Linked DNA regions of Yarrowia lipolytica. The main gene of each other region encodes a partner of the protein of the gene in region 3 in a complex. Links are inferred from orthologs where the notes say so. Each region holds a gene or a part of one and is shown on either strand. Other genes may lie near its edges.

Region 1 (4,189 bases), on a different chromosome or scaffold from region 3:
GACCCACTTTGTTGGTGACTACCAGTGAAGGCAAGCCATGCTGTTTTGTGTATGAAAATAGCGGCGACGCAGAAGACAAAACCCACTCTCCTACAATGGCAGTATCATTCGACCTCGATACAGTTGACAAGAGTCTCGACACAGCTGAACCGACATCTACACAGCAAGTTCTCCTTCTCTCGCCGTTGGAATTCGACACAAATAAACGGACAATTGATATCGACGAGACGGTGGCGAGGTTTGCTCTCAAAGTTCCGTCTCTGGGCGTCTTTCTGGGCGTGGATAAGGCTGGAGTAGTCTCGCTGGACAGTGTTGCCATCGGTACTCCGCAGCAGTTTACTTTCAAAAGAGAAAAAGGCGACGCGGGGGTTTCGTGGACGATAAAAACGTCCTATGATGCTTATATTGAGATCAAGAACGGTAAGATCAACCTTACTGAAGATGGAGCAAAAGCATCAAAGTTCACAGTAAGACTTCAATCGTCTCACAGAAAGAAGACCACGGCCGAAAAACAGGCGGTGACATACTATGCCATGAGTACAAAGGCCCTGGAGGAGCGTGCTGGAAGATCTCTTGATCCTGATGAGGTTGTCAAGTTGAAGAAGTCTAACAAGGAGGGTAATCTGAACGAGGCCTTGTTGGACCTGAGACAGAAAGGCAAGAGTGATACGTATTGCTAGAAATCTGGTTATGCGAGTGCCAAAAACTACCAAAAACTCCAAACTCCCTATCTATAAGCCATATTGTGTTCCGTCCTGTCTCCCACGAGCTTCTGGTCCTCACTACCCTCGACTTCTACCGTGAACACCTATCCTCCAATACTTGTACTCGTTTCTGTGGTTTGGTTTGGACATATGCATATAAATAAAAACTAACTAATCATCTCCTTACGCCGTCACAATAGCCCATTCACCTTCGGAACTAAGTACCTTCTCCACATCTTCCTTGGGCAGCTGTAAAGCTGTAGAAATAGCGTCAAAGTTTTTTGGCTGCTTTACGAGCTTGGCCAGGACTCCATCTACCTCCTCTTTCTTGATTCGCTCCTGATCAGGGCCCAGACCCACTCGTCGTCTTCCTCCCCGAGGAGTTGCGGAAACGTCCTGCACGTGTCTGTTTCTGTTGAAAGGAGTGATGCCTTCCAAAATGGGATATGAATGAGCTCTGTAAATAATACCCTTGATAACGCCAAAGGTGATGAAGCGCCGAATATCAATGTTGACGAGCTCCTTTTGGTTCTCTGCATACCAGTCGCCGAGAGTTTGGCCCTGATGCAACGACTTGTACAACTTGAACAGTTGTACAACGGAGGGAACAGTTCCTGACATGGAGTGAGAAGAAGAGAACGAGTTGGACCGCTGAGAAAGAGACGATGATGATGAGGTAGACAATGCAGATGTGGCCGACGAAGACAAAGGAGGAATACTCAAGTGCCCACTTTGATCTCTCATCTGGCGCTCATATCGTTGTCTGAAAGAAGTTGAGAGTTCATTCGAAAACAAGCTGGTTCGTGACATGTGTCGTTTTCTATTGAGTCCTGGAGCAGGCATCATGCCCCCGAGGGTTCCTGCAGGTGAAAAGACATAAGCCTGGCATTCTCGACCCATATCTGCGTCTTCAATGAAATCTCCAATGTCTGAGGTGGGAGCGTAAATGTTGGAGAACTGGAACAGGTCCACGATGATGATACATCTGTAGTACATGAGCTGCTGAATGCAATCCTTGGTGAGGTTGTAGTCTGCATCTGCGAGGTCTGCAATCCGACGAATGGAGTTGATCCCATTGATAAACGGCACAATCTTCTCCATGGTGGGATCCCAGTTTTCGTCCACCATTTGTTCCAGACGTACAGTTGCTATGGGAACGTACGACGCTCTGAGGTCTGGAGGCGACGGGAAAATGGGAAACAGTTTAATGTTGATGGCGTTGGAGTCGTTGATGGCCACGAGGCATTCCGAGTAGTTGTTTAGGTCCTGGAACAGCTGCTGGATGATATTGTCGATGAAGACAATGTCTGGTCGGGCCGACAGAAGTTTGCTCTGGATCTCCAGCGCCTCGAACATCTTGCCTATCCGTCTGATGGCTGCATCGTAGGCTCCCGAGGCTGACTCGTAGCTGAAGACGAATGCAAAGTTGAAAATGAACGAGTTTCGCGCGTACTCGTTGGAGTAGATGTGAACCGGGTACGAAGAGACTCGGTAGGCGTTACTTTTAATGGTTACGACGCGGTTGCACAGAGGCGGCTTGGGGATGACGTAGTTTTTCACCGCGTTGAAGGCCACCAGAGCTCCGGGCTGATCCAGAGATTCGGCATCAGGCACAATCGAGTCGCGGGGCACCTGAACCTCGACTCGTGGACCCTCGGTGGGATGGAACGTGGAGTAGAAAATGGCCAGAATCGGCGCAAAGCCGTAAAAGTCCATGTCGTGTGTTTGAGGTGAGGCTTAACGTGGTGAGGGTGATATGATATGTGGTGATGTCCCACCTGCATGATAACGATAGGCATTGTTGTGGGAGGGAGATGAGAGCAGTACAGGGAGTGATGGAGAGACGGTAGATAGAAGGGGGACACGACGCTTCAGTAAAATGAGGAAAAGAATTGAGCCTTCTATTTATTTTTTCAGAGAATGATAGGTGGAAGGTGCTGTTCAAGCAATCTAATCCATGCATTTGTTTGTTCACTATAGTTGAGTTAGTTCATGTGTAGTTGAATGTGACAAGTAGTTGAGCTACCTATAGTTGAGGAAGACAAGGCACCTGTAGTAGGACATATCCATGATATTACGTCACAGAGCCACAAGATATTTCTCAATTGATAGATACAGATCTAGAAGAAGCAATTGTATGTAATTAGATGTCCTAATACCATCTTACTATGCTGAGATGAGCCTTTTATTGATTTTTGAGGACTTGTTATTTTTGTCGGAAGTTTAGTTGAAGGAGGAAAATTCCAGTTCTGTAGCCGCGTACAATACACTCGCCTTCCAAAGAAAGCCGGTAAAAGTAATCACTATACTGTATAAGTTATGCCCGCATTCCAAGTTGTGCAATTGCACACTACCGTGTACATTCAGTATACGTTTTACTTTTTTCCTTTTTCTCCAACTACGTCATTTCACTGCGATAATACTCCAAGTATCTCTCGTGCTGTAGATTTTACTTGCAGCCTTACAAGCGAAGACATTCAGTGCATTCAGTGCGAGCTGATAAAAGACTCACCAGCACGAGTTGTTGCTATGACCGTTCCACGTTCATCATGCTGCGGCTTTCACGATTTATCGAGTGCTGATTTGCCACAGTGCACTATTTATTGCTCCTATAACACGAGCCTAGCACCCATCAACTGAGCTTCTTTCTCTTCCGCCTGAACTTGTCTTGCATCTGAGCTTCGAGCATCGCACTCGTAGCTCTCACGAACCACTTTACCGCCCACTGCCGCCGACATACCCCGCTCAATACGGATCAATTGGTGCGTGTGCAGGAGAGCAGCAGTAGCTCACAGCGACAGACAGCGACAGACAGCGACAGGCAGCGACAGGCATGCGTCTCATATGATATGACTAATTTACTCTGTACGTGCGGTGGATGTTCTGTATCGTATGAACAACCAGCGGTGAGACTTGGATTCAACGCCTTCAAGTTAGACTCAAAACAGTGTGCGGTTGTCGGATGTTGATCTGGGGTGTCAATTGGTCAATTGATGGCGTACGGAAACTGAGCGGCCAGACCACCGTCTCTTCCCAGCGCCAACACCTCGAATACTCCCGATCTGCTCTTGCACTCCTTGTGGCACCTTTGGCCCCGTCTTCTTCTGCGGGCAAAAAAACAAGCTTTACAACCCCAGACTTCGGATACTCTTCGGCCGAAGACTAGAGAGACCTGAAAAAGAGAGGTAATTGAGGCAGCAATGAACATGGGTCGGAACAGGCGGATTGCTCCCACAAGTGAAGGAATCGGAACCGTCACATAATACAGCACGAAACCAAGTCTTTGATTTGCCACCCGCCGCCACACATAGCCAATACAGCCAGTAATCCCTGGGGTGAGCCCTAACCCCAGCAGAGAACTCTAAGGAACTTTCCACCGCGAACCTTGGCCTGGGTATAAATTTTCGCCTTGTCCCAACCGCACATAGGTCGATTGATTCAAACCACCAAATTTCTCTCTACTACAAAAATGCAGCGAGTCATTG
Region 2 (7,961 bases), about 2.3 Mb from region 3:
GCGGCGCTGAGAAGTCCGGCGCTCTTGTCTACCATGAGGCTACTGTCGGTGCCGGTCTGCCCGTCATCTCTACCCTCAATGACCTCATTGCCACCGGTGACGAGGTCGAGACCGTCGAGGGTATTGTTTCCGGAACTCTGTCTTACATCTTCAACGAGTTCTCCACCCTCTCTGGCTCTGACGTTAAGTTCTCCGACGTTGTCACCAAGGCCAAGCAGCTCGGATACACCGAGCCCGATCCCCGAGAGGATCTCAATGGTCTGGATGTCGCCCGAAAGGTCACCATTCTGGCTCGACTCTCTGGCTTCGACGTGGAGTCTCCCACTGCCTTCCCTGTTCAGTCCCTGATTCCCAAGCCCCTCGAGACTGCCTCTTCCGCCGATGAGTTCCTCCAGAAGCTCCCCGAGTATGACGCCGACCTTGCTAAGCTTCGAGACGAGGCTTTCGCCGAGAAGAAGGTTCTCCGATTCGTCGGTTCCATCAACAAGGGCACCGGCAAGGTCGAGGTTGGTATTCAGAAGTACGATGCCTCTCATCCCTTTGCCTCCCTCAAGGGCTCCGATAACATTATCGCCTTCAAGACCAAGCGATACCCCAACCCTCTGGTCATCCAGGGAGCTGGTGCTGGAGACGAGGTCACTGCTGCTGGTGTTCTTGCCGACGTTTTCAAGGCTGCCCAGCGACTTGCCAAATAGGAAGTTAGCGCAGGCGAACAGTATCATACCCTAGATGGGATGAAACCACGATTGTAACTAGCAAATATAAGTTTATACGACCCATAGAACTGTGAACTACATACGGTACTAGTATGTTCAGTAGCTCATACAATTCCTTAATTACTATAGACCAATACTCGACGTTTTTCAAATACCATGAATAAATATAACCTATTTGTCGTCTTCAACCTCTTTGCCTTTATCTTCCTTCTTCGGCTCAGGCCCGTCACTCTTATCCTCTTCGACATGTTCCTTGTGTTCAATTTCAACACCAGCAGGGACCTCCTTGACCTCGGAGGTGGTTTCGTTCGCCTTGTTGTCCTTGCTGTTCTCGTTCTCATTCTCGTTCTCATTCTCGTTCTCACCATCTTGCTCCATCCCCATACCTGCGTTCTCATTCTCACTCTCGCCCTTGTCACCCTCCTCGGATTTCTCATCACCTTCCTCATCATTTTCATCACCATCAGCTCCGCCCTTGTGCTCAACTTCTGGGGCAATCTCCACGTCCTCCCTCCACTCAACTTGAGGACTTTCAACTCGGCCCTCCATCTTGGCCTCAATTGCTAGCTTCGGGGTACCGTTCTTGGAGCCCTCCTCCCCCGGAGTCATGGTGCCAGGAGATGCCTCAGGGGACAAGTTCACCTTACCAAGCATATCCCGCACCTTTTCAGACCGACACATGAGATACTGCATCTCCAGAATGATACCCTGAGCCTCACTCTGCAGCTGAATGGCATTTGACTGAGCTCCAGACTGACGATTGAGCTGCAGGTTGTTGGGGATCATGATAATCTGATCACCGACCACCTGAGCAATCAACAGACCATTCTTCTCAACCCATTGACTGTACTTATAAGTGGGCACACCCCACGAGTTCCGGATCTGCACTTCAGCAAGCTTCCAGTCAGACATACTCAGAGTGTCGATCACAAAGCCGAAATGATGCAGAATCTCGCGTGCAATCGCATGAGGGTCGCTAGCGTAGTATTCCAGCACATGGGGAGGCAGTCCGCTCAGCTGGTCCAGAGTAGGCATGTCCAGAGTGATCTCTGAAGCAAAGGGGTTGTGTTCGAGAAGAGCAGACACTTCGAGAATGGGCAACTCGACCAACTTGAGTCCGTATCGCTCACAAGTTCGAGTGAGACCAGAAATGTAGTCCTCAATGAACTTGGGGGTGGTGTTGGCCCATTCGAATCGCAGATGGAAACACTTCCGGGGGTTGTGGATTCGATCGTGGTGAATCAACACGGTCTCTGGTCGATACGACTTCTTGGAAGGATCCAGATCAACACGCACAGACTTGGAAATCTCCACGGTGATTGGGTTGATTTCCTCTTCCTTCTGGTCGTTCGAAGACCTGGAAGTGACTCGAGAAAGGGACAGGAAGTCACCAAACGACTGAACAGACTGATTTCGAGAGCCTTTAAACCGTCCCAATGACTTCTCTGAACTGACGGAGGCCATACTTCGCTTACTGTTGAACCAGCCACTCTTCTCCTCCGCAGGCTTGCTGTCAGTGGCTTCAGTGGCATACTCACTCTTGAGCTGGTAGAAGTAATGACCATCAAGGAAAGCATGTCGGTCTTCAACGTGCACGAAGAAGTCCTTCTTCATCAGCTCGTTTCCATACGCCACAGCTTCATCAGGAGTGTCAATGTCGGAGTAATTGTCAATCAGCCACTCGACGAAATCCTGACCAATGAAACAGTGAGGGTATGACTTCCAGTGCCATCGTCGGTCAAAAAATCGGATGCCACCCTTGGGAGCCTGAAGCTCAGTCGCCAGCTGAGCCAGCTTGATGTTCTTGTCGAATCGCTGATTACGTTTCATAAAAAGAGAATCTCTACCACCAGCCAATTCAGCTGGATTAGACTCCACAATCTGAAATAAAAAGTCCTCCAACTCGCCAGTGTAAAACTTGAGGTTGGGTGCGATCTTGGCTCGCTCCTTATCCTCATCTCGGGAGATGCTATGGCGGTAAATACCTCCAAGAATGCGTCGCAAACCATCCAATCGGACCTCCTCGGCATTGTACACTTCTGAGGAGTCGTCATGACCGAGATTCTTGGATCGCGACAAGAAACTGGGGATCAGAACCACCCGCAGCTGGTTCAAACGGGTCTGAGTGGCTGCAGAACCTGCCGTATCGTACCCAGCAAGTGAATGGTCATACAAGTTCCAGTTCAGTCGCTTAGAGGAAGTGTCGAACGGTGGGAATATGAAATGCTTGAACTTGTCCGAGTAGGTTCGACGAGCATATATGTCGAAAACGGGCTCCTCAATATCTACCTTATCAATAGCATGATAAATCTGGACATTCATCATGCCAGAGTAGTCACAGGAGATTCGGTGAACTTGATCACCGGTAGTGAGATACACCACAGCTCCTAGAGCATCTTTCCCAATGTCTGTGGTGATAGCTGAAGGCCGACCATCGCTTCTCTGAGACTCCACGTGGCGTACACGGGATCCAATAGCAAGCTGGAAGCCCTTGCAGAGCCGGACACTCACCATCTCTCGGAACAAGCCATGGATACCCAGCACATTCTCCATATCTGTGTCCAAACTCACATCGTACACCTGGAACCGGTACTCTGTCTGGAGTTCTGCCACGGTGGGAAAGATATTGGTTCGAAGAGGTAGTGCGGCTGGAGAAGCCAGAAGCTTCCATTTGGCCGACCGACGCTTGGTCTTCTGAGGATATACCGTTCTCCATCGAGAGTAAGTTAGAATGTCGAGCATTTCGTCCTGGGAAATGTTGGACGGTGTTCTGATGTTCCTCCACATCATGTTTCTCTTCTCAGGCGTAGTTTCTGTGTTGATAGACTTGGCATTGGCCGATGCAGCCTTGGCTACCTTGCCTCTGTGGTCTAGAGGAGAACCCGAGAGTCCCATTTGCACCTTTTGGCTGAGAGAAGACCGCCGTTCGACCTCCTGGTCAGGTGTAGCTGCAATTCGGTTGTAGGTGGGAGACTGAGAAAGGGTAGAAGTGCTCTTTTTTGGCTTGAGATTGGGTGCAAAAGGCAGAGAAGGTGCTATGGGCGCAATCTCTGTTATTCTAGGCTCAGCCTTGGTATTGTGGACAGTGTCGTCTGTTACTATGCTCTCAGTGTCTCGTTTAACACTGTCATTATCACGTCTCAAGTCCATAGACTGGATAGAAGACAATGTGTTGACAGCAGACAAAGCGGGAGAAGCAGGAGCACTCTTTTCTGCCCTAACTCCAAACGCCAAAAGAGACGTCAGAGCACTGACACGGGGTTTGGACGCCGCTGGGCTGGGCCTCACATCAGCCACCTTCACTGATGCCTTAGGAGGAGGAGTTTTGGAGGTGACAGCTGTGGGTGCATGCAAAGAAGAGATACTGCCCTTGCTGCTAAGAAGCTGTTTCACAGGCAGCTTGGGGAACGTATCGGACCGCATCTTGGACACCACAGATGCAGCATCCTCCACAGACAGTTCTACAGCGATTGGGCCAAACAACGAAGCATCGTACTCGCGACAGTACTCTGACAGCGGCTTCTTTCCGCTGGGTTTGTTCAGATAGTCAATCGTGATAGCCGAGAGCTCGTTTTCCATGACTCCCATCATTTGGATCTCGTAGATTTTGCACCGAGGGACCCACTGATTGGTAAAAAAGTCCGAGTCTCCATAGTAAGAAATATCAATCCAAGAAGGAACACAGTACTCAAGCTGATTCGAGCACTTCTTCGGTTTGTAGAGAAACAAAGGTGTCACATGTAGAGGAGCCTTGGACATGCAAATGATGTCTACTCCAACCTCAGTGGATGAAATCTTCTCCGACGCTCTATATAGAGCATCGTACTCAACTTCATAGACTCCAGAACCTGGTGACACCACAATAACCTCCACATTGGTTCTCCTTAGGTCTCTGTCAATGGCCGGTGAATGTACCAGAGACGCCGCGAGGGTGATCGCACCCAAAATGTTGCTCTTGACCGAGGGTAGAATGCGTCCTCGGATTTCAGTATGGCTTTTGGCATGGGATTCCGTCAGAACCTCCTTGGCAAAGTTCTGGAACTCGAATCTCAATCGCACCATGATCTGCTCCCATTGAGACAGTTGGACCTGATCGCAGACTACTCTGTAGAAGTCCTGTACGTCTTTTGCTTTCTCTCCGCGCTTTAGCTTGACTGCATGAGAATCCATGGAAACTGATGTGAACAGCACAATAGTCACTGTATGGTGGTGTTCATTCTCTTCCCATTGCTTGAAAATATCAGGGAGAAGCGAATTGACCATTCTGTGGAAGATGATTTCGCCAGTCTCCTCAAAATGCCACGTTTCCTGACTTAGTTGGATGATGATGATCATACGGGACGACTCGGACCGAAACACAATGTTGGTGTTGGGCCCAATGTAAGCAGAAAACACCTTGCGGCCATTCTTGAAAATGCTATCGACCCAGCATCGAATCACGTCACAAAAGACTATTCGTTTCTGGTGGTACACGCAACTTTCCCGCAGCATGGTTGTGATCTGCCACATGTCTGCTCGGGTCAGGTAAGTTTCCTTGAAGCAAATTTCCACCAGGTCGGCTTCCACCTGTTCCTTTTTGCGCAGTTTGATTTGGACCTGTGATCGGGCAGCTACCCCGAGAGAGGAAAGCAGGTTACCTGATTTGATAGAGAGCTGCGTTAATAGATGAAATGAGGTAAGAAAAACAAGAAACACCTTCAATATAAAATGTAGTAAGGTGATGTATGAGACGAGCTTCCACACAGAGCGACTTCTGGAATGACCAGACAACCGTGTGCCACAGGTAGGCAGACACACAGTTGCACAAGAAGCCATAGTCACTCCACAGAATGAAATACGACTTTCCAACCATTAGACCCATTGCTAGAAGGAGCGTTCGTGGGATTGATTTGTTGCAGTACACACGATAGCAGATCAAACCATGAACACTACCCAAGCCTTGATTGAGATAGAGGCATTGGACCAATGATCTTGATTGGTGCCCACGACTAGAGATCACATTCAATCAATGACATCTGGAAATCAGTGGATTCGTTCTTATCTTGATGTTGTTCTGTGTTGCTCGTGCGAGTTGCGTCGATCGTCTAGCGCACTCCTTGCAAGATACTCTCTCCCTGCAATGCTAGCTGGCGTCCTGACCTTTGGTCAGTCGTTTGGAATTTGTGTGACTCACCTGACAAGTAGGAATTCGATCCAAAACTTCCTGGGGAATGGGCGTCACCTGAAACAACAATTTATGGCTCTTGTCACCACTCTTCAACTCGGCGATATCGCCCTCCGAGGCGCCAGGAATCGATGTCACATCCACAATGACCTCTTCGGCGCACGTTTTCTGGTCGTGTGTCCACGCCTGCAACGAAACCCATGTCGTCATGGCGTTGATGTTATGGTGTCCTGTGTTGTGGGGTTGGTCAAGTAAAGTCGTGATCTTTATGGCTGATGTTTTGGTGCTCCCGAAACACGCCTAATCTATGTAAGCTAGAGTTTGAGCTGGCGGGGTATTTGTGGGTTATCGGGAGTGTATCAGATGACACTCAGGGATGACATTTCAAGATACGAGCAAGGGAAATTCAATGGTGGTTTTGAAATTTATGTGATGCCATTATTCGTGGAGTGGGACCAACTTGTTAAAACGATCTTTGCAGTTTAGAATTTGAGGATATAGTTGGGTTTCTTGACTATATTTGTTAGATAGACTTGGCATAGGAGGGCGGGAGAAGGTTGAAATTATTGTTTTCACATTTTGTGGAAGGGACTCTCCACCCAATGTGCTGTGTTCAATTACGCTACCCTTTTGATAACACCAAATCTTTCCCCCTTGTACCAGGTATTTAGAGCAATCTTAAGGGAATCAAATACTTCGGGTGCTGTTCGGAGCAAGTAATATGGACAGGACAATAATTTGAAGAATAGTCACGTTATAATAATAAAAAAAAACTTTGGAATCATTCAGATATATCCGGGGAAGACAATCATGTGCCTTCTTTTTGCAAATATCAACGTCAGTGTCATATTTCGACGGTTGATATGTTCTCATCTTGCTATCGTCAAAAGAACATCCACCAAAACTCTGAAAATGATCTCTAACACCTCGCACTCCGACCCCTCCACCAATACGGTGGATTTTCAAGCCAATGGGTAATTTTCTCAGACAAATCTTCACGTTTCGTACTTGTTCCCCTGAATTATCTGCTCTTCTCTAACGTTTTTCTCTCTGGGATGCCTAAAAGTCACCCCCAGCACACTTCGTTTCAACGAACCCCTAAGTGTATTCACCAGAATCACCTTCAACAGGCCCGGGAGAGGTAGAAGTCTCGGGACGAATTACCCCATTGAGCCATAGAAGTATTAGTGCTTACTGAGAGTGCTTCATATAACCACACTGTTTCACTCAAGAGCTTTCGGACTTGTTCCTTCTACTTCACTGTGTAGGTTTAATTGATCGCCCATCCAAAGGCAAAAGCTTGCTATGAGCTCAGCCCTATTGTCCGAAAATAGGTTCAGGCAGGGTCCTACTGAGCCGAGGCCATGTGGTGACTAAGAGTATGTGTACACGCTGTGTTGGCAGTAGTCTTAAGAGATAATGGTCTGGTCTTTCACAGAGATGCCCTGCCTTCACACCTTGTATATGTCACGTGACCAGGTCTCTACCACGCTAATACACCATCTTATCTTCGTCTTAAATCCCACACGTTATGCTCGAACTGATCAACACCGGAATGTAGACGGCCAGTTGCTCAGAAGGCTTTGGTCGCTTTGTGTGTAAAATGCCACGTTTTGCTCGTCCGACGTGTCGGAGACGCAACTGAGACGCAATACCGAATGCGTCAGTAGCGGTTATGACATGGCTTCACTCTTCTCTTGCAAGTACCCAACTTGAAGTTCATGTATCTACAGTATGTACCTGTTGTACTTACATTCATACTGGACCACTAACAAACACAGATTATGAGCCACATGGCCATACCGGAGTCCTAATTCTCCCCACACTCTTCATGTACGGGTATGTACGTGTTTCTCTCTTTCTGGTATGAGTACAAGTACGTGTTTGTCCACAATCAAAGTTGGAGATGATAGTTTCCAAGGCTGCCTCGACGTGCGGGATATAGAGGTGTAGCAACCATAGATAAGTGGCCGGCATGTGTAAGAAACTGTTCTAAGACCGGTAAATGGGATCCAAAGGCTGAGACAGGCCAATGATACCGGTTGAATCAAAACAACAACGGCTATTTATAAGCAGGAAAT
Region 3 (5,838 bases):
ATGATCCACATTTATTTGTTGACATGCATGGCATAACTAGGGTTAGGGTAGACAGAGTGGGCGGTCTGTGGAAAGGTATGTGAATGAGGGTAATGAGGGTAATGAAGGGATTATGGGGGTGGAAAAGGTGATAAAATGAGGTTTCAAACAAGACTTTTTTTACCCATTCTCAATTGAGCTTTTTTTGACTGAGTTGGAGGGAGTAAGGAGGATGGTGTTAGGTAGGTTAAGTAGTAGTGACACTATTAGTTGCGGGTTTTAACAAAACAATATGATTACTGAATGATACGAGATGGAGAGATTCCGAGACAACAAAAAGTAGTTTTTATTGTCGGCTTAGTCGTTCTCTATTAGTTGTTCAAATATCCCTCGCTAGTGTTCGAGATAGTGCGATTGTATGTTCAGTCTCACTAGATTAATTAGTTGACTCACCAGAGTCTTAGTTGAAGATTAATTGAATAAAAATGATTTAGAAGTAAGCTACAGTATTGTTACAAGTAAATACTGTAGGCATATAATTACCTAAGCCACCAGCAACCCGTGTGTGGACATCTCGATATCTCTCCAGAATGCCACAACACAATTGGCCAGTCTTGCACACGCCAATAACAGGCTCACCAAGCATGTAGCCCTCTATGGTCCGTTTCCGACCTTGTACCATTCCCCCCATCGATATCTTCTTCGAGCTCCTGTAGGCAACATCTCCAACAGTTCAGGGAACTCGCAGAGGTGTTTCAGGAGCACCCAACAAGGCCTTGCATGTATGTGGAGGATCTAAGCCGAGAATTCTAGTACATTATGTACTTGTATATGCTCCATGATCCCATATCAAGAAGGTAAACACATTCTTCAATAATAAGTTGATTCGTTAAGTAAGAAGCGGTTGGACAGTGAGGTGGGGTTTGGGGAAGTTGTCGACTCATGACCAGGGGCTTTTTGTTCCGTTGACTCGTTCCGATTGCCATCCAGTTAAATACTGTTACACAAACAGCTGCAATTCGGAACAGGACAAACATCGTGCTTGGAAAACCATTTCTGCACATGACCCGCATGCATGCCATGATTGCAGCTCAGACAGAAGCTGAACCAATGCGAAAACTGGTGGAAAGCAAAGTTGTTCTTCTCCTGCTCAACGCGGGTGTCTGGCATAGCTTCTCCCATGGTCAGCAGACACACGGCACACCGAGGAAGAGGCGAGTTGCAATGCGGGCACTTTGCAGATGGAGTAGACGTAGTTGCGGGCTTAGACTCGTCCTTGAAAATGTTCTTGTTGCAGTATGAGCACCGAAGAAACACCTGTCGAGGCTTGGTGACCGCAGTAACCGATCCAGAGGAATTCTGGCTCAGCTTGGTACGCGCAATATCAAACAAAGCACGTTCCTTGAACATTCCCCACTGGTTGAGCAGCTGCTGGTACGACAGAATCCACTGCGAGTACCGCTCATCCTCAAAGAACCGAGGAGCTCCAAACGAGGTCAACAGCGCTGCCGTTTGGATATCACCAGTTCGATCCACATAAGACTGTAGCAGATCAACTGCCCGGGGAGTGATTCCGGTCAAAATAATGCCTTCCAGCTCTCCTCTGCTAACAGCCTGATCCCCCAGTCGGTTCAGATAACTGGTGAGATCATTGTCGGGAAGGAACCGAAGAGCCACACCCAGGCGTTCCTTGAGAGGCAAAGAAGACTCAGCAAGCACATCCAGCCAGTCTCCATCGGCTATATAGGCGAAAATGGCCCGAAAATAGGCATTGTCCAGCTCAGAAGCAAGCCGTCGACACTGCTCTCGCCAGGAAGAGTTGGCATTTGTAGATTGAGACAGATATCCTGAAATGGCGGTCGAAATGATTCGATGCCGCTCCTTCTTGGACCCAGCAAGACACTGGACAGCTCGCTCCACGTTGCCATGGAACACCGCCCAACCTGCTGCCTTCTCGTACTCGCCCTTACCTTCGGCTTTCTGGATCTCGGCTTCAAGCTTGTCGTAGGAGAAATCCCAACCAGCAACATACAAGCATAGTTGTCGTTGGAACTGCTTCTTTGTGCCCGCCACAGACGCGGAGATGTAAATCTTGCGTGTGAACTCCGTCTCCATCGCCAGCTGAATAGCCTGGGCAAACTGGGACTCCGTAGCGTCCTTTTTCAATAATCGATTCTGCTGCAGAGCAAGACCCTGGACACCCTGCCACACGTCCAGAATGCCCTCGTAGCCAAGGTCAAAGAATTCAGAGACAACTGACCGGTCAATATCGGCCTTTTGGGCCCGCGAAATCCACTTCCACGTGTTTTTCAGATGGGCAGGCCAGAGACTGTGATTGTGGCTCTTGAGCAGACTCTTGTTGGTAGCAGTGTCGAGTCCGTAGCCGGCCAGAGCTCGTTTTCGAATGATGGTGGAGATGTCGTTATCCAAAATGTCTCTGAGCTTCATCAGCCCGATCTGAGAGTCGTTGCTGTAGTTACGAGCACGTGGGGAGGGCTCTTCTTCGTCAGAAGACACGTCTGGAGAAACCACCGAAACGACAGATTCGCGCTGATTTTTGAAATCGACTTCTCGGACTTCATCACTGGGCGTCTCAAAAAACACGTTCGTGGCATTGCTGAACGTGAGGGTGTTCAGGGGATCGAACCGCAGAACCTCGGGCGACTCCTTGGGCCGGAAACAGTACACCTGGCCTGTTCGTCGCATGCAAATGTATTCGACAGGACACTTTTCAGGCTCGGCGTGGATGTAGTCGAAGCCCAGAAGCTTGTCGAGCGGCATCTCCACGTCCTTGGACGACCGCACAAACAGGTATTTGTCAAGAGAAGCTGTGGGGTCAGACGGTGGCTTTTGGAAGTCGAAAAACCGATTCTGAGACGTACTTGATGTGGGCTCGTTGTTCTGTTGATTCTGATACACGTCATCATCACTTCGAACAGCCAGACCGATATCGATTCGACGAATGGACGAGTCTGTGTTTCCATAGACGGTCATTTCTCCCCGTCTGGTGGTGCAATATCTCAAGTGAGTAGCGTTCGCTTTTCTGGGGAGTTCGGAAAGAAGACGTGGAAATAGTAGCATCGGCTCGTTTGACGAGTTTCCTCCGGGCTGTCGCAGTTGACGTCGATCCCAGACGGCCATGCTTCCATCTTCTCCGTAGGATGCAAAGTAGTTGGGTTCGTGGGGGTAGGTGGTGATTCCTAGAGTGCATCGAGTGGCACACTGGTACAGAGGAGTTCCGGATCTGGTGTCGATTTCACGCAACAGCTTGTATGAGCCACAGAGCACGTTATGAGTCCTGGGGATGAACTCCAGACTCGACACAATCTCGTTCGGGAGATAGGTGCTGAGAGGAGTGATATTGCCGCCCTCCACAACAGCATTGACGTCCCAGATATGCAGGCAGTTGTCGTTACGTGTCTTTTCCAGTCCCGCCGCGAGAATTCCATTGTCAGAGAAGGCTAGAGCGTTGCAGGTTCGGCTCTGTTTGGAGCGTAGTTTGACCACCTGCGACTCGGGGTTGTTGATGTCGAATAGAAGCACCGATCCGTTGAGCTGCGCCACAGAAATGATGCCCTTGTTGACGGGCGAGTATGCCGAGCAGTGGATCGCCGAAAAGCCGCTTCGATACCTGATCTTCTCTGGCTCGGTGAAGCTGTCTTTGAAGAACGATTTGTGATTGAGGGGAAGTTGGTAAAGCGACACCTCGTCTCGGGTAGGCGACACGCCGATGATGTGGTGTCCGTCGACGCCGGGACCAGGAAGAGAGTCCCATTGGTACGCGTGAGCGATTGATCCAAAAGTCGTCATCTTGTTGGGGATGACCTGAGTTGGGTATTGGCTCGTAGAATCGTCAATTTACGTCCGCTTCGAATTCTGAAAGTAGCGGTGAGGTCAGCAGAGATGTAGCTATGTCGCGTCTTGGTTTGGGCCCTGGGTCGACTCTGCTTGTCGAAATCCGGGGATGCTGTGATGTAGTCCGGAGATGTAGGGTGATAATGATAGTGCATGGCGCCTAGAGTCGGATGTTATCGTGAGTTCGATTCGGGCTGGAGAACACAATGTGTTTTGCTTAGCAGTAGGAGAGTATACGAGATAGCCCAAGGGGTAAGACGTATAAACGACAGCGAGGGTCATTCGACAAGATTTTCGACTCAGCAAAAACCCACAATCGTCTGTAGAACTGACAGTGTAGTCCTCCACACCATCAACTAGTCAATTAAAAAGCCAAGTAATATCCCAACTAAACGTAGCTGGAAGATTAGCTACTAAACAAGGTTACAGTGTGCATCTCAAATCATTTTTTTATGCACCTGATTTTCAACACCGTTTTCAGTGTCTCCGCTACTCCGACACTGCTCTCAAAAATGCTCAGAGCACAGTACAAGGTTTGTACAGGCCGGCAGACGCGGCTCCTGCACTCGGCCTACGTGCTGCGAAAAAAATCCGACTATGAAGACACCTTTATTGGCGAGTTTGAACCTCCCTCCACCAAGGCTAGGGGTTCGTTCAAGGACCCGTTTGCTGCATTCAAGAAAGCCACGAAAGAGCAGGGCGACGATCCCCTGACATTTAGCAAGTTCTCTTTCAACGACGACAACCTGGACAGCTCAGATATCGGTTTCGACGATTTCAGCTCCGGATTTAACAAGACCAACCGATTCAAATTCGATGCCATGGAGGACGAGACCAAGGCATTCGACGCGCTTGGCCAAGACGATCACAACAATGCCACGTTCGACTGGTCCGGCGGATTCGATCAATGGGGAAAGTCTGATATGTTCCCCGAAGAGCCTAAGAACCGATATGTCATGCCCCAGAACCTGGATATGTCGCCGTTGAGAGGCAACAGCGACCAAATAAGTACACACGTTATTCCCCCGTCCGAGTTTGGAGGAGCTCTGGGGAGCTCTGCGCCGTTTGAAAAGATTTTTGCAAAAGTTATGGGGGAAGAAGCGGCTACGGAGACAGCAACAGGAGCAGGAACGCCACCAATGTCACATGAGTCTGAGTACGAGTCCCGTGAAACCGCAAACTTGGATGCTATCAGACAAGCCAGTGGAGTCGAGCTTTCCTCTATCAACTCGCCATATGTGAATCTGTTCAACTCTGGTGTTCCTGACATGTTTGTTGAGATCTGTGCCGAGCCCGATATGGATGTTCGACATGATCGGATTGATTCTCTGGATCTCAAGGAATGTACCGAGGTGGAAATTGCTATGATGGAGCAACTCAAGAAGCTGATTCGATTGGATTCTGACTACGATATTCTTGAGTTCATGAACAAGCAGCTCGATGAGATCGAGGACATTGGCCAGAGCAGAAAAAACCTCCCCTCTGAACTGCCGCCTGTGGCTGCCGGGTTCCCTCTTCTGCTCAACGAGTCTCTGCAGCTTCTGGTGGAGAAGTTCGAGTCCCCTGCTGACTCCGTGGCTCTGTTTGACGCCGTCAAAACCCGTTCCGGCAACCTCTACTTTGCTACCGTGTCCACAGACGTGTACTTCACTATGATCAGGATTGTGTGGGAGTTCTACCGAGATCTTTCCACGCTGTCGGTGCTCGCGTCAGACATTGCGTTGATGAATATCAAATCTCGAGCCTTGATCAAGGCAATGGAGGACATTGAGCGAGACTGCTACAAGACGTTGGAGTCGCGCAAGCGACGGGTGCCCGAGTATGAGGAGTCCATCACTGCGCGGGTGCATGCCGAGACCCTGCGGCGGTTTTCGCTCATTATTAACTACCTGAGACGAGGACTCAGAATGAAGGACAATCGGCAGAGAGCGTTCCGATTGAGAGGAGAAGTTTGTACATATTAATTCGCATTTTACTACTTAAGCGGGTGGAGACTTTAGAATG

What was found.
Region 1: YALI1_D23693g (region 3) and YALI1_F04027g share a complex: the UniProt entries of both Saccharomyces cerevisiae proteins name them as parts of the SEA complex. The link is inferred for Yarrowia lipolytica from reciprocal best matches to the Saccharomyces cerevisiae genes SEA4 and NPR2.
Region 2: YALI1_D23693g (region 3) and YALI1_D01123g share a complex: the UniProt entries of both Saccharomyces cerevisiae proteins name them as parts of the SEA complex. The link is inferred for Yarrowia lipolytica from reciprocal best matches to the Saccharomyces cerevisiae genes SEA4 and IML1.

What each region holds. Positions count from the first base shown.
Region 1 is NC_090775.1:400,333-404,521, forward strand, and holds YALI1_F04027g (uncharacterized protein), read right to left. Parts: upstream 2,421-4,189; coding exon 888-2,420; downstream 1-887. Other genes in the region: YALI1_F04001g (uncharacterized protein), read left to right, coding at 1-680; YALI1_F04045g (uncharacterized protein), read left to right, coding at 4,174-4,189. UniProt on the Saccharomyces cerevisiae protein: Component of the SEA complex which coats the vacuolar membrane and is involved in intracellular trafficking, autophagy, response to nitrogen starvation, and amino acid biogenesis. Mediates inactivation of the TORC1 complex in response to amino acid starvation.
Region 2 is NC_090773.1:110,516-118,476, reverse strand, and holds YALI1_D01123g (uncharacterized protein), read right to left. Parts: upstream 6,091-7,961; coding exon 5,890-6,090; intron 5,370-5,889; coding exon 888-5,369; downstream 1-887. Other genes in the region: YALI1_D01188g (uncharacterized protein), read left to right, coding at 1-695. UniProt on the Saccharomyces cerevisiae protein: Component of the SEA complex which coats the vacuolar membrane and is involved in intracellular trafficking, autophagy, response to nitrogen starvation, and amino acid biogenesis.
Region 3 is NC_090773.1:2,367,215-2,373,052, reverse strand, and holds YALI1_D23693g (uncharacterized protein), read right to left. Parts: upstream 3,790-5,838; coding exon 970-3,789; downstream 1-969. Other genes in the region: YALI1_D23730g (uncharacterized protein), read right to left, coding at 1-11; YALI1_D23721g (uncharacterized protein), read right to left, coding at 615-720, 796-923; YALI1_D23688g (uncharacterized protein), read left to right, coding at 4,287-5,798; YALI1_D23668g (uncharacterized protein), read right to left, coding at 5,814-5,838. UniProt on the Saccharomyces cerevisiae protein: Component of the SEA complex which coats the vacuolar membrane and is involved in intracellular trafficking, autophagy, response to nitrogen starvation, and amino acid biogenesis.